Canis lupus familiaris: one gene and its partner. The protein of the gene in region 1 binds, or shares a complex with, the protein of each later gene. Links are inferred from orthologs where the notes say so. Each region holds a gene or a part of one and is shown on either strand. Other genes may lie near its edges.

Region 1 (6,292 bases):
AGGTGTCCATCATCAGGCAAATACAAAAAGCATTGTATGCTCTCAGATGCTCTGCTGGCTGTCCAGGAACGTCTGGACCACAGAAGTGGTGTTTGACATGCTTAAGATAAGACATGTTTGATGTAAAAGTCTGGATTACTACTTGAGTCAGAAAGTAGTACATTTCTGTGGAATGGGAATTACATTTAAGAGGAGGCATGTAGATCTTGGTCCCCTGCTGTCCACTCCACTCCCTTTTTGTCTTGTATTTGACATAGTTTATTCACAGGTTTCCTTCCTGGCCCTTTTAGGCATTTTGAGTTTGCAGTCCTCCTGTAAAAGGCATCCCGCATGTATTATTTCCCTTAATGTGATTTCATATGCTGTGTGATGTCCGCATTTTACAGATTGGGAAGTTGAGGCTCAGGATGTATCACTCATCTGAGTCGTGTAGCTAAAGCAGGGCACGCTCAAATTAGGGCTGGGGTTTCTGGCGCCAAGCCTAGGATTTGGGTGGGCAGGCCCTCCCCCTTGTGCAATAATAAGGGAAAGAAATTGCCTGCTGTGTCCCTGGCTGAGCTCTGCTTGGTCTCTCTTCCTACCACCAGAGAACCGCGAGAGCCTTGTAGTGAACTATGAAGACCTGGCAGCCCGGGAGCATGTCCTGGCCTACTTCCTGCCAGAGGCACCAGCAGAGCTGCTGCAGATCTTTGATGAGGCTGCCCTGGAGGTTGTGCTGGCCATGTACCCAAAATACGACCGCATCGCCAGCCACATCCATGTGCGCATCTCCCACCTGCCTCTGGTAGAGGAGCTGCGCTCCCTGAGGTAAGCCAAGGGCAGGGTGAGCCTGAGGGTCTGGGTTCCCACCACCCTGTGGCTCAGCTTCGTTAGAGGGAGCGGCAACAGGGCCACAGGCCTGGGTGGGCTGGCTATGGCCAAGGAGAGTTCTCACTCCTGGCACTCTGGCTTGTACTGGTTGTAATGATGTGGATCTGATGGCTCCAGACCCCAAATTTTCCAGATCCACTTCACTTATAGCCCCAATCTCTGAATGGCATGGATCAATCATATGGCCCTCCAGGCCACTGATATGCCCTCTCGTGTCTGCAGGCAGCTGCACCTGAACCAGCTAATCCGCACCAGCGGGGTGGTGACCAGCTGCACAGGCGTCCTGCCCCAGCTCAGCATGGTCAAGTACAACTGCAACAAGTGTAGCTTCGTGCTGGGGCCCTTCTGTCAGTCCCAGAACCAGGAGGTGAAGCCAGGCTCCTGTCCTGAGTGTCAGTCAGCTGGCCCCTTTGAAGTCAACATGGAGGAGGTGAGAGGCTGCACCCGTTGTTGGCTGCCCTTCCTGTCTACACAGGGCCTGCCCCACCTCTAAGCAGTTAGATTAGCAGGGCAGCTGTGGGAAAACAGCATAGACTTGTGTATTCGCCACACCCTGAGGCAAATCAGATCTATCTGGCTGGCCTGTTTAGTTTGGCCTGTGGGGCATTTTTCAAGAACTTATGCCAATATTTTAAAACTAGATCATTTTGTTTAAAATGTCAAAATTGATGTGTTGTTTTTTTTTTTTTTAAGTTGGGGGTGTAGATCTGGCAAAACTGGGCTCACTTGTCAGGCTGCCCCCATAGTAAGGCACCTGTTTCCCCATCCCTTACTCAGGGGCTTTCCCTTGACATTTCTGGTACCAACCTCTCTGGGCCTCTAACTGGGGGCCTCTAGCTTATAACTAGCTTAGACATCGCGGTGCCATATTCAGGAGGCCCTGCTGAAAGCTGCTGGGACATTTGTCTTTGTATTCGAATGACTGCATCTCTACAGTTGGGGTCATCCCTGTACTGGTGGGGGACGCCCAGACTCCCTTTATGGCCTTGCTGCGATTATCTGCTGCTGACCTCTCAGCACTCTGCGCCTGAGAAGTGCTCTGGCTGAGACCACTTTATCAGAAAACCCCTGAGGGTTTATGATTGTGGCAGCCCAGAGCCAATAGCAGACCTGATGTAAAGTCGAGGTGCACCTTGCTTGGGTCGGGTGAACTGCAAGGCCACATGTCAGCCGAGCCCACACCTTTGCCCAGAGTCCCCTGCCTGCTTAGCTCATCCTCCTTAAGAGTCTACTTTCCTAGAAGCTTCTTGAGAAGTCTAAACAGGAACAGGGTTTCAGGCCCTGCTTCTACATGAGTAATAATTACTTCTGAGGTTTCTGGAGTATTTTGCAAGGTGCCAGTAGGGGATGATGTATAATTCAGTTTTCATTATACATTTTGAGGCAGGTGGTATTACCGATCTCAAGGTCACACAGCTAGGAGGAGGCCCAAAGGTTAGAACTCTGGCATTTTAACCCAGAGTGTCTGCTTTTAACGGCTGTGTTATGTGGCCTCTTTTCTAGACATGAAATGAAATAATGGACATTAAATTGCACAGCAAAATGTTGACATGTGACATTTGGCAGCAGAGCCCACACTTAGTGGAGCTCACTGTTTGTTGGGCATTGATTTCAGTGCTTTTGACATAGGACATGGTTTAATCCTTACCCTGAGGGTTTACTTTGAGCGTTACCATCCCCATTCCGCAGAGAAGGCCTAGAGAGGGAACATGGTTGCCTAAGATCACACAGCTCAAGACACGGAGCTAGGATTTGAACCTAGGCAGCCTGGCTGTGGCGTCTGTATGCAGCAGGGCTTGGCTCCACAGCATATAGCAGGTGCTTGACTGGCAGGAGGCATCCACGGGGTAGTGGCAGCAGTGGAGACTGTCCACTGATGCATTGGTCCCAATAGGCTTGTTCCCTATCTTCTCTAGAATGGCTCTCCATTTTCTAGTCAGTTGATGGAAATAAGAATCCTGTCTGTTCTCCTTCCTCATGGGGCCATGGCCAGGATCAGGTGACATAAGTCAGTGCTTGAAGGAGTCCAAAGTTGACCTTCTGCTTTTCCCACATAGACCATCTACCAGAACTACCAGCGCATCCGAATTCAGGAAAGTCCTGGCAAAGTGGCGGCTGGCCGTTTGCCTCGCTCCAAGGATGCTATCCTCCTCGCTGATCTGGTGGACAGCTGCAAGCCAGGAGATGAGATAGTAAGTGGCCCAGAAGCAGGCCCAGAGGGAGCCGAGTTGCTAAGGAAATCAGCATCGGCATCTATGGTGCAGAGAGGGTTGCTGGCAGTGGGAAGAAGAGTCTTTCCCTCCTTGTAAAGGACTGGCCGGTGGAATGTTTTGGATTAATCTTCTGGTTTACTCTTTTTGCTGTCTGGTATAGAGGAGTTGAAGAGGAGAATCAGACAATGGAGGCAGTGGGGAGGAGGACCTCACCCCTGAGTCTAACCCCGGGCTGGGCCTCTGGATTGTTTCTCCTCTCCCAGGAGCTGACTGGCATCTACCACAACAACTATGATGGCTCCCTCAACACGGCCAACGGCTTCCCTGTCTTTGCCACTGTCATCTTAGCCAACCACGTAGCCAAGAAGGACAATAAGGTCGCTGTGGGGGAACTGACAGACGAAGACGTGAAGATGATAACCAGTCTCTCCAAGGACCAGCAAATTGGGGAGAAGGCAGGTGGAAGTCTGGGTGGGATTGTCGTGCTCCCAGAGGAGCACCCAGAACCATGGTTCTGATTCCCAGGTCCTGGGGTCTACCCTTCTTCATTCTTTCCCTTCCCAGTGTTGGCTTGGTAAACTTGCCTTGAGGGAGAGGGGGCGGTGCACTCTGAGGAGGAGCTTGAGTGCTGGTGTCCAGACTGGCTTCTCGGTGGGACAGGGCTGTGGTGAGGAGTCAGTGGATCGAGTCAAGCCCAGGCTCAAAGCTGAAACAGGTGGACAGTAGGAATAACTCCTCTTACAAAGAAATCAGACTCCTACCAACTCTTGTTTCTCTAGGAAGAACACCATCCCCAAGTTGGTTTTAGGTTTATGAGGTCTTTTTGTTTTAATTGTAGACATTTTTGCTGAAGGTGGGGGAGCTAGGGATTTATGAGCCAGACCCTCAATTCAGGTGAATCAGTGAATCAGCGCAGGTTCCATTTGGCTGGTTTAGCAAACGGGATCCTTCCCTAGAGGGCAGGACCATATGTGACGCACTCACCTCCATCATGTCCACCTCGGCCACCAAGATTTGGGGCTCCACCAGGATAGGTAGGGGTTTTCCCAACCTTGGAGAATGAGAGCTTCATTCTGCCAGCAAGCTCAGACCTTGAATGCTTGTAGGGCCGTGTTCTAGGATCTTGGGAAGTCAGACACAATTCTTCCCTTCCTGGAGCTCATAGTTAATCAGGGTCCCCGATGATAAGAAAGAAACAGGACCTTTTCACAGAATCAGAAACCGAGGAAGACAGCCACAACCCACGATTCTTTGTTTCCTGCTTTTTGCAGAGGAAAATTAGTACTAATACAATGGTCCTGTTTTCAGATTCTTCGCAAGTATTTGAGGCAGTTTCCGCACCTGGCTTGCATCAGCTGTGAGCACGCACTGAAGGAGCAGTGTGCTTCTAGAACACTTTGCCACTGCCCTCTTCCCTCTGCTTCAGTTCTCAGCCACTGCTCTCCCACTCTCTTGGGGAGACAGGAACAGCAGCAGATAGAGCATAGAAGACAGGACGTGCTGGACTTGAACAAGGCTTGGGACAGGGCAGTCCCTGTGTATGCCTTGTGCCCCAGACTTCCAGAACTGCTCCTCGGTGCCCTAACATAGAAGGCTCTGGCCACACTGCTGGACCTCGATAGCTGTTACCCTGTCTGCCTTTTTGTCTGCATAGCTGATCTTGCCAGGCAGACACGTCCTAGCATGGTACTGGCTGCTCAAGTTCAGTTAAACCTATACACTTACACAGTGACCTCCACAGGGTTGCAGAGGGTGCCTTCTAAACAGGTCCTTGAGAAGGATCTAGAGGGGCCCCTCCTATAGATGATGACATCTCTGCGGGACACCTTTCTGAACACTGTCAGGGAGGGAGGGCTGCATGATCACCAGGGAGGGTTGGTCTGTACTGACCCCTTTGTCCACTGTTAGCATGGATATTTTTACCAAGAACTTGGACAAAGAAACCATACTTGGCAGTTTTGGGGACAAACTGAAAGGATGACAGGCAAGATCCAAAAATGATGGGGTTCATTTGAATTATTTAAGCCAGAGGTTTGCAAATCAGTGGCCTATGGGCCACTTGCATCCTGCTGACGGGTTTGGTTGGTAGGTGGTTCTCTATTTCCCTTTCTTTTTTTATTGCATTTAGTTTTGAATTAGTTATCATCCTTTAGGAATTAAGAGATTGCACCTAAAAATCTGGAAGCCTCAGTTTGTGACCATCCAAGCACCCGTCAGTGCTAGGTCTTTGTTTTTCTCCAGCAACTACTCTTGGGAGAGCCAAGGGGCAGCTGTCCTTTCAGATGGGGACAGCTCCCTGCTATCTGTCCCAGCCACCCACTGCTCCACCCTCTAACCTGATGAGCTCAGCTTACTTGCCTATGGGACATTTGATTTTGTGGTGCCTGATCACAGAAATAGTCAAGGGGTAGATGCCATGCCTGAAACTTAGATTTTTAAAAATTTTTATTTATTTGTTTTTTTAAAGATCTTATTTATTCATGAGAGAGGCAGAGATATAGGCAGAGGGAGAAGCAGGCTCCCTGTGGGGATCCTGACACAGGACTCGAACCCAGGACCCCAGGATCATGACCTGAGCCAAAGGCAGACACTCAACCACTGAGCTGCCCAGTGGTTGTCAGGCACCCCTGACAGATTTTAAACAACTAATGGGAGAATGAGTCTGGAGCCAGACTCCTTAGGTTTGGACTTTGGCGTAATCCTTGTGTGATCAGATGAGCATCTGGCCTCTATACGGTGAGATGGGTAAGATGGGTGAGATGTGGTGGGTAGCACCCAGTAGAGTTGTTTGAAGGTTACATAGAGGTGCACATGTGAATGCTGTGCTATTGCATGCTCAGTACAAAAGTGAAATTGTTCCTACAAAAACTGGATGGGTGTGCCCCCCCCAGACAGTGTATGTGGACTGGAGGAGGATAAAAATAGCCCTTGGGCACTTTCTTGTGCTCACAGTAGCTGTGTAGGTGGGAACTTGGCCTCACTCTATGCTGGGCTGTTCTGAGCAGGGGGATGGGGCGGTGTGTATTGAGAATTAAGAGCATGAGCTTCAGATTCAGAGGAATCTGGGGTCAGGTCCCGCCTCTCTTATTTAGGAACAGTTTGACCAGAGCCTTGGTTTGTTTCCTCCTTAGTGATATGGAGGAACTAGGATCATTATGAGGGTTAAGTGGACTACTTCATGGGAAGCAGGTCATTCCTTGGCAGGTCTG
Region 2 (6,936 bases), on another chromosome or scaffold:
GCCAGTGTTCTAGGGCTAATGACAAAGGAACTATCCCCCTGGATGACTGCATAGCAAAACCAGAAATAAAGACTCCTCTTCCTTAATTTTTTAAAGACGGTGCAGATAATATGACGGAGACCTGGGAGACCAGGTGAGAGGCATTTTAATAAACACAGAAGAATAAAATAAACCTTCCATTCATTTACAGTCCTCGTAACGGACGTGGCTCTAACGCCGCTTCCTTTTAGAGGCCTTCCGGAAGCACCAAGGAGGCTTCAGGCTGCCTCCCCGCCTCCTGCCCCAGGACTGAGTACTGACCACCCTTACGGCCTCTGGTGTCATCGCAGCGCCTCCCCACGTGACCGGGGGCTTCCATCCGGCGGGAACCGCGCCCCCTCAGCCTGGCGTTCGGAGCTATGGCTCTAGCCAGGTGCGCGAAACACGTGCGCTGGAGGATGGATTTGTGGAGCACTTTAGCCCTTCGGGCCGCTCCCCAGGATCCTCCCGATACCGCTCGCTCCGCCAGGAAACCACAGTCCAGCGAAGGCCGACTGCGCCCACACAGGTTTGCTCACGCTTCCACCCCAGCGACACGCAGGTTACAGCGCGACTTTTTTGCGGCAGTTTAGGTTCGTTAGGGTTCACAGCGTTGCATTATGGGAAATATAGGGGCGGGAGAGCGGAAGGGGCGGGGCAAGTGGGTCCTGCGCTTCCCGCTGCGAGGCTCTAGGCTCGGGGTGTCGCGGTGTGGCCGTCTCCGCGTTGGTCCTCCGCCCCGCCCGACGGGCGGCAGCGCGCTCGGAGGCGCGGCAAGGGGCGCACGGGAGTCGGCGCCCGCCGGCTGCACCATGGTCCAGCTCAGTGAGTGACCTTCCGGGCGGTCGCGGGGGCCGGGAGCAGGGGAGCCGATGAAGCCGCTCTCCTAGGCGAGCTGGAGGCAACCCGAACCTGCAGCGGCCGCACTGCCTTATGTCTGTCCGTCGCCTTAGGTTTTTCTCACTGAATCCTTCCCGAAAGTCTGTAAGTGGCTTTCAGTTGATAGGTGAGGCAGCTGAGGCGCCGCCGTGGTCTCTGTTACAGGCGGGCTGGTGTGGAGCGGCTTCAGGCGGTCGCTCTGGCTGCAGTGCATGGGAGGAGCTTCACGAAAATGTAGTAGCCAAGCCGGGTCGACAATAATGGGTGGATGTAAGGATGGATGCTTCAGTCGAGGAAGGGGCTTGTTTTATCTGCCTCATTTTGTTCCTCTTATGTACTCGGTGCTTGTGTCCTAACGACTTCTCTCTCTGCAGCTCCTGTCCTGCGCAAGGCCTACCACGGGGGCCACTTAACCATCCGCCTTGCCCTGAGCGGCTGTACCAACCGGCCTTTCTACCGCATTGTGGCTGCTCACAACAAGTGCCCCCGGGATGGCCGTTTCGTGGAGCAGCTGGGCTCCTATGATCCACTGCCCAACAGTCACGGGGAGAAAATCGTTGCTCTCAACCTAGAGCGGATCCGGCATTGGATTGGCTGTGGGGCCCACCTCTCTAAGCCTGTGGAGAGGCTTCTGGGTAACTCAGCTCTAGATTTGCTTCATTGAGGGGATTTTAAATTGAAGTCCGTTTCGGAATAAGAGTTAAGAGTGACTTTCGTTACCTCAGGCTGCTCAGGGCTAGAGTGAAAACCCGAGTTGTGATCTAATTGTCATTTTGACTGGAGACCTCTTTTGTGGGCTCTTTTAGGAGACTTTTCGATGAATGGGATTTTGTGTTGAAAATAGTAATAGCTTTTCTTGAATGAATATCTGTCTTTTTTTTTTTTTTTTTTTTCAAATCAGGACAATAGGAAGTAACATCCATTGTCTCCTTGTAGTAAATGGAGGGGAAGGACTGGGGGGAAGAGATAAGACAGTTTGGCAAGAGAGGAGCAGGTTTTAAATCCATGCTGTAGGTCAGGTCTCTGTTAGACCTCGGCTCTGTAAGGCTAAGCTCCCAGGGAAACCCTGGTTATACCATGTTATAATGAATGAAAATCCTGTTGCTTTTAGGTCTTTCTGGCTTTTTCCCTCTGCATCCCATGATGATCACAAATGCTGAGAGGCTGCGAAGGAAACGGGCACGTGAAGTCGTCTTAGCATCTCAGAAAACAGATACAGAGGCTACAGAAACAAAAACCAGCTGACTTCAGTGAGCAGAGAACATTGGGAGAAAGGTCAAAGCCATCTTAAAACACCTGTGCAGAGCTCTTAGTTTTATTAGATTTGGAGGTCAATAAATGGGAGTTTTCTGAGTCACGCATGCTCTTCTGGCCTGGCTTGAGCACGACTCAGGGAGAGATTTGTTCTTTCTGACATAGAGCTGGTCTAGGTACTAATTAGCTTTTTCAGCCTTCATCTGGAAGAGACAGTGGCTCTGGGGTGTGCTGGAGTTGGGCTGGGCCTTAGAACTCTTGGACAACTTTACAATCTGCTGCTTTCTAAGACTTCCCCGTTTGAAAGCTCCAGCCAGCCTGTCCATGATCCATCCTTGCAATTTCTTCCTTAATCATTTTTGGTCATCCCACTAGCTCAAGAATATAGTTACTTTGCTTATTAATATTTTGTGTATGTGAAATTGTAGATTTACATTTTCTTGTTTGACTCAATCTCAGATTTACAAGGGTAGATTTTTTATGAGCTTATAAGCTATGATAGCATACTTAAGAATGAGAAACTAGAAGAAAGGTAATAATGAACAATACCTACATACATTTTTGACCCTTTACAACTAAGATTATTTGTGAGGATTATAAGGTATCATGAAAGTGGGAAAGATGGTCTCCCTTTGTATTGATGGGAGATTGAGGTTCAGGGGTGGAAACATGCCCAACGCCATCTATTTTGATTTGGGCAGAGCTAAGATTCAGACCCCAATACGCATACCTGGAGAGCCCTTTCCAACATATTATATGGTCGGGGACAGGATTGGTGTGAGATGAGTAAAGATGAGGGGCTTTTCAAAAGTCCACTTAAAAAGCCAGTGATATGAGGTTTAGGTGTCGTGAGTTTGGTAACATACATGACTGGCTGTGGCCCAAGCCCAAAATGTCACATCTGCTTCACCAGAATTGCAGGACAATCACAAGCATGGATTACAGGGGTTTTGTGCACACTATAGATAATACAGATTTCAAATTCTGGCATAAGACTAGGATGTAGAAAATTTATAGAGGAGATACTAAAGCCCTATCAATGTACCAACTTATTTTATTCTCTGGGTTTTATATACTGAGAACAGTTACCAACCATAATGAGTCAAGTCTCTCCCAAGGTTGTCACTGGTTGGCCTCCCTTGCATTGAGGGGACTTCAAAGGCAGGGCAAGAACAGCTGACTACTTGGATTTGATCTTGGATCTGGGAAAGAAGAATGCTATGAAAACTATGGGCACTCTGGAAGTTAAAAATAATGTACTCTGGAGAGTTTAAGATCTTTGGATAAACTAGTTGCTAGAGCAGAGAATGATCATGAAAAACACTGACCAGTAATGGGAACTGCTGGGAAATGGGTTAAGGTATTTTGGACTACTGAGTTTCCACCAACTCAGGTATTCACTTTGTGCCCTGGTCTGTCTGTCCCCTGTGATGTGTATAGACATACTCCCTGTATGAGCTCATCCTGTCCCTGATTTCCAATTTTCTCTAGCTCTATGCTTGCTTTGCATCACCTGGCACAGTTTCTCACCATCTTAGTTGATTACATCAGCTTACTTGTTTCAAATCCAACATGCTCAAACCCAGCTCTGCACTTTAGAAAGCATTAAAAAAAAAAAAAAAAAAGCCTTTGCTTCAGCAGCTTTCTTTTTTTTCTTTCTTTTTTTTTTTCAGCAGCTTTATTTTTACTCAGATGAGGGTTTGGTCATGTTTTCTTAACCAAAGTGGAAGGTGATAAGGAACTGGAAGGTGAATGGGAATGATTCTGTAATGTTACAATTTTTAAAAGACTAGTATTTTGTGCTTTTAGTTTAGGCTTTTTTCTTGCAGGAATTAGGGAAGAGTACTTACCCAGCAGTCCCAACCTGTAGGTCTTAGAGTTTGTGTACTCTTGTCAGGATCATTGAAAAAGAACAACATTGAACCATGTCAGGTCTTCAAATGTCGGTGTTATGAACTTTTTTACTTAAAAAAAGGCAAAAGGCAATGTATGGTTCAGACGTAATATGGACATGCCATCTATTGAATGAGCTGCTGCACTGGGACACCGGGGAGAAGATAATCGCCAGATTTCTTAAGGGGAGGAGGGTGCAGCGGCCCCGACTCCCGCTCCGCTACCCAACACGCGAGGTCCCGCCCGCCGCTCCGACCTTCGGTTAAGTTCTGGCCACGCCCCCACTTGCAGCTGCCGTAAAGTGCGACGTCGTGGCCACGCCCTTCCGGCGCCTCTTGTGACGCAGTCACTCCCGGGTTTTTTTTTGCGCGGGAAAAGGAGGCAGTCTGAAGCTGTACCCAGTGTCGCGGAGGTTGCGGCGCCCTCCCTGGCTGCCGGCCATGGGGTTGCTGGAGCTGTGCGAGGAAGTGTTTGGCACCGCCGACCTGTACCGAGTGTTGGGCGTGCGGCGCGAGGCCTCGGACGGTGAGGTCCGACGGGGCTACCACAAAGTGTCCCTGCAGGTGCACCCGGACCGGGTCGGCGACGACGACAAAGAGGACGCCACCCGCCGCTTCCAGGTACGCGAGCCCCGGCTCCGCTGGCTGCCTGGATTTCTCTCGATCTCCTGGCCTGGTGTTTTCTAATCTTTATTTCTCGCAGCGCGGTTGCAGTGAAGGATGCAAGGGTGACTTTTGGATGCTCTTTCCTCGCAGATCCTCGGGAAAGTCTATTCTGTTTTGAGCGACAAAGAGCAGAGAGCGCTGTACGATGAGCAGGGAACAGTGGACGAAGATTCTGATGTGCTTAACCAAGATCGGGACTGGGAGGCCTATTGGAGGTTACTTTTTAAAAAGGTAGAGGAGTCTGGAGGTTTCTTTGATTATTCCAGTCATTCATTAAACAAACGATATATTGAAACGCTTTAAGGTATTGCATTTTGTGTTGTGTAGGAATGAGGAATTTGTTTCATTTTCAAATACAGATAAATATGTATACACACACGGGCAAGTATTTCCCAGGAGATAACACATTTGAAACAGCATAAATCACACATACATTTACTGAAATGAGTATTTAATTTCCTGCTGATGTAGAGCAAGTGTAGTGAAAAAGGTGAGGGTTTTTTATTTTCTAAGATAATGCTCCAGGGTCGCCTGGGTGGCTCAACGGTTGAGCATCTGCCTTCAGCCCAGGGCGAGATCCTTGAGTCCCAGGATCGAGTCCCAATCTGGCTCCTTGCATGGAGCCTGCTTCTCTCTCTGCCTCTCTCTCTCCCTCTCTCTCTCTCTCTCTCTCATGAATAAATACATAACATCTTTACCAAAAAAAAAGATAGTGCTCCATTTTACATATCTCTACCTGTAAGTCCTGAGTTCTGGGAAACTTCACGTAAATTTTCCTGGTCTGTAGTTTAGTAGTTGTGAAGATTGGGGGGAGAATTCTGGAAAAACTTTGGCATAGAAAGCGTGGTTCCAAAAAAAAAAAAAAGCGTGGTTCCTTGCAACAAATTCAATTCAAGCCACTGTTGTACTTGGGAAGAAACATCTCAATACCTAAATCTAGTTTTACTAGTATATTTTTTTTTAAATAAAATTCTCAATAAAATAAAATTCTCACAGTTAAAGTATATATCTCTTGTTTGTCCAGATATCTTTAGAAGACATTCAGGCTTTTGAAAAGACCTACAAAGGCTCTGAAGAAGAGCTGGCAGATATTAAACAGGCCTATTTGGATTTCAAGGGTGACATGGATCAGATCATGGAGTCTGTGCTGTGCGTGCAGTACACAGAAGAACCCAGGATAAGGAATATTATTCAGGAAGCCATTGATGCTGGCGAGATCCCCTCCTATAATGCCTTTGTCAAAGAATCAAAACAAAAGATGAATGCAAGGAAAAGGAGGGTAAGATTTTGAATGCTGTTAATTTATATCTTGATTGCTTTTAAAAATAATATGAAGGTATTTACAATAATAGAAATATATTTAAGTTTATTGAGACGAGAGTAAGGATTAACTCTATAGTTATATAGCTCTTTTCTTAATAAAATGAGCATACCAGTTCATCAAGAGCAACTTTTTTCCCTAGTATGTTGTGCTCAAGAAGATTTTGCTATGTGGATTGTTTAATATCATCTTAAGATAGCACTGAAATATTCTTCATATGGGCTAGTTCTTTTAGCTTTTTCATGGCATTGCTCAAAAAATAAAGTAATGGAGTCCAGATACAAAGGGTGGACGGACAGTGGTTCTCAGTTAAGAGACAGGGAGAGGATGGCTAAAACTTTTTTTTTTTTTTTTTGACTCTGTCTTGTGCATACAGATTTTCTGTTGTTTTTGTCCAGATTGATTCTTAAATTGGACCTAGAACATACATTTCTAAACAAATGATTTAGTTTATTTTGATGAAAGTGTCTTCCCAAACAAGCTTTGAGAGGAACACTTGTGAAGAATCAAGAATTGTGGCTTCTGTATCTTATTAAACTGTGGAATTGGTGAGGGTAGGAATGATGGCAGAGAAAAGGAGCTTAAGGATAGACAGCTGAGTTCTGGGAGGGCGTGGATTCAAGGTAGCTAGCTTGTGTCTTGTGGGGAAGACCAGACTGGGACTGAAGTAACCATAACCTGGCTTTCCCAGTAGGAGCTCAGTGGAGAGCAGTCTAAGAATTTAGATCTCTGGTGGGTACCTGAGGTAGGTTTCTTATTTTGTATGGCTAAATTGGAGGTGGAGGTAGTTCTGCAGTTTTGAGTCAATATACATACAGGGGGAAGCTGGTGTGTGTGTGTGTGTGTGTGTGTGTAGGCCCAGTGGAATGTATATCAAGATTATCATTTTTGGGGGTGCATCATGAC

Evidence for each region.
Region 2: the proteins of MCM2 (region 1) and DNAJC9 are in contact, whole or in part, in a crystal structure (PDB 7CJ0), measured with the Homo sapiens proteins. The link is inferred for Canis lupus familiaris from reciprocal best matches to the Homo sapiens genes MCM2 and DNAJC9. Residues at the interface, in NP_004517.2 of Homo sapiens: Glu65, Glu66, Glu67, Asp68, Glu104; in NP_056005.1 of Homo sapiens: Lys185, Arg189, Arg192, Lys244.

Annotation. Positions count from the first base shown.
Region 1 is NC_049241.1:1,717,217-1,723,508, forward strand, and holds part of MCM2 (DNA replication licensing factor MCM2), read left to right. Parts: intron 1-587; coding exon 588-807; intron 808-1,092; coding exon 1,093-1,300; intron 1,301-2,927; coding exon 2,928-3,062; intron 3,063-3,346; coding exon 3,347-3,538; intron 3,539-6,292. UniProt on the Homo sapiens protein: Acts as a component of the MCM2-7 complex (MCM complex) which is the replicative helicase essential for 'once per cell cycle' DNA replication initiation and elongation in eukaryotic cells.
Region 2 is NC_049225.1:24,557,266-24,564,201, reverse strand, and holds the start of DNAJC9 (dnaJ homolog subfamily C member 9), read left to right. Parts: upstream 1-2,595; 5' UTR 2,596-4,484; coding exon 4,485-4,664; exon of another isoform or gene 4,665-4,799; coding exon 4,800-4,940; exon of another isoform or gene 4,941-5,152; intron 5,153-5,733; coding exon 5,734-5,988; intron 5,989-6,936. Other genes in the region: MRPS16 (28S ribosomal protein S16, mitochondrial), read left to right, coding at 639-843, 1,272-1,532, 2,009-2,142.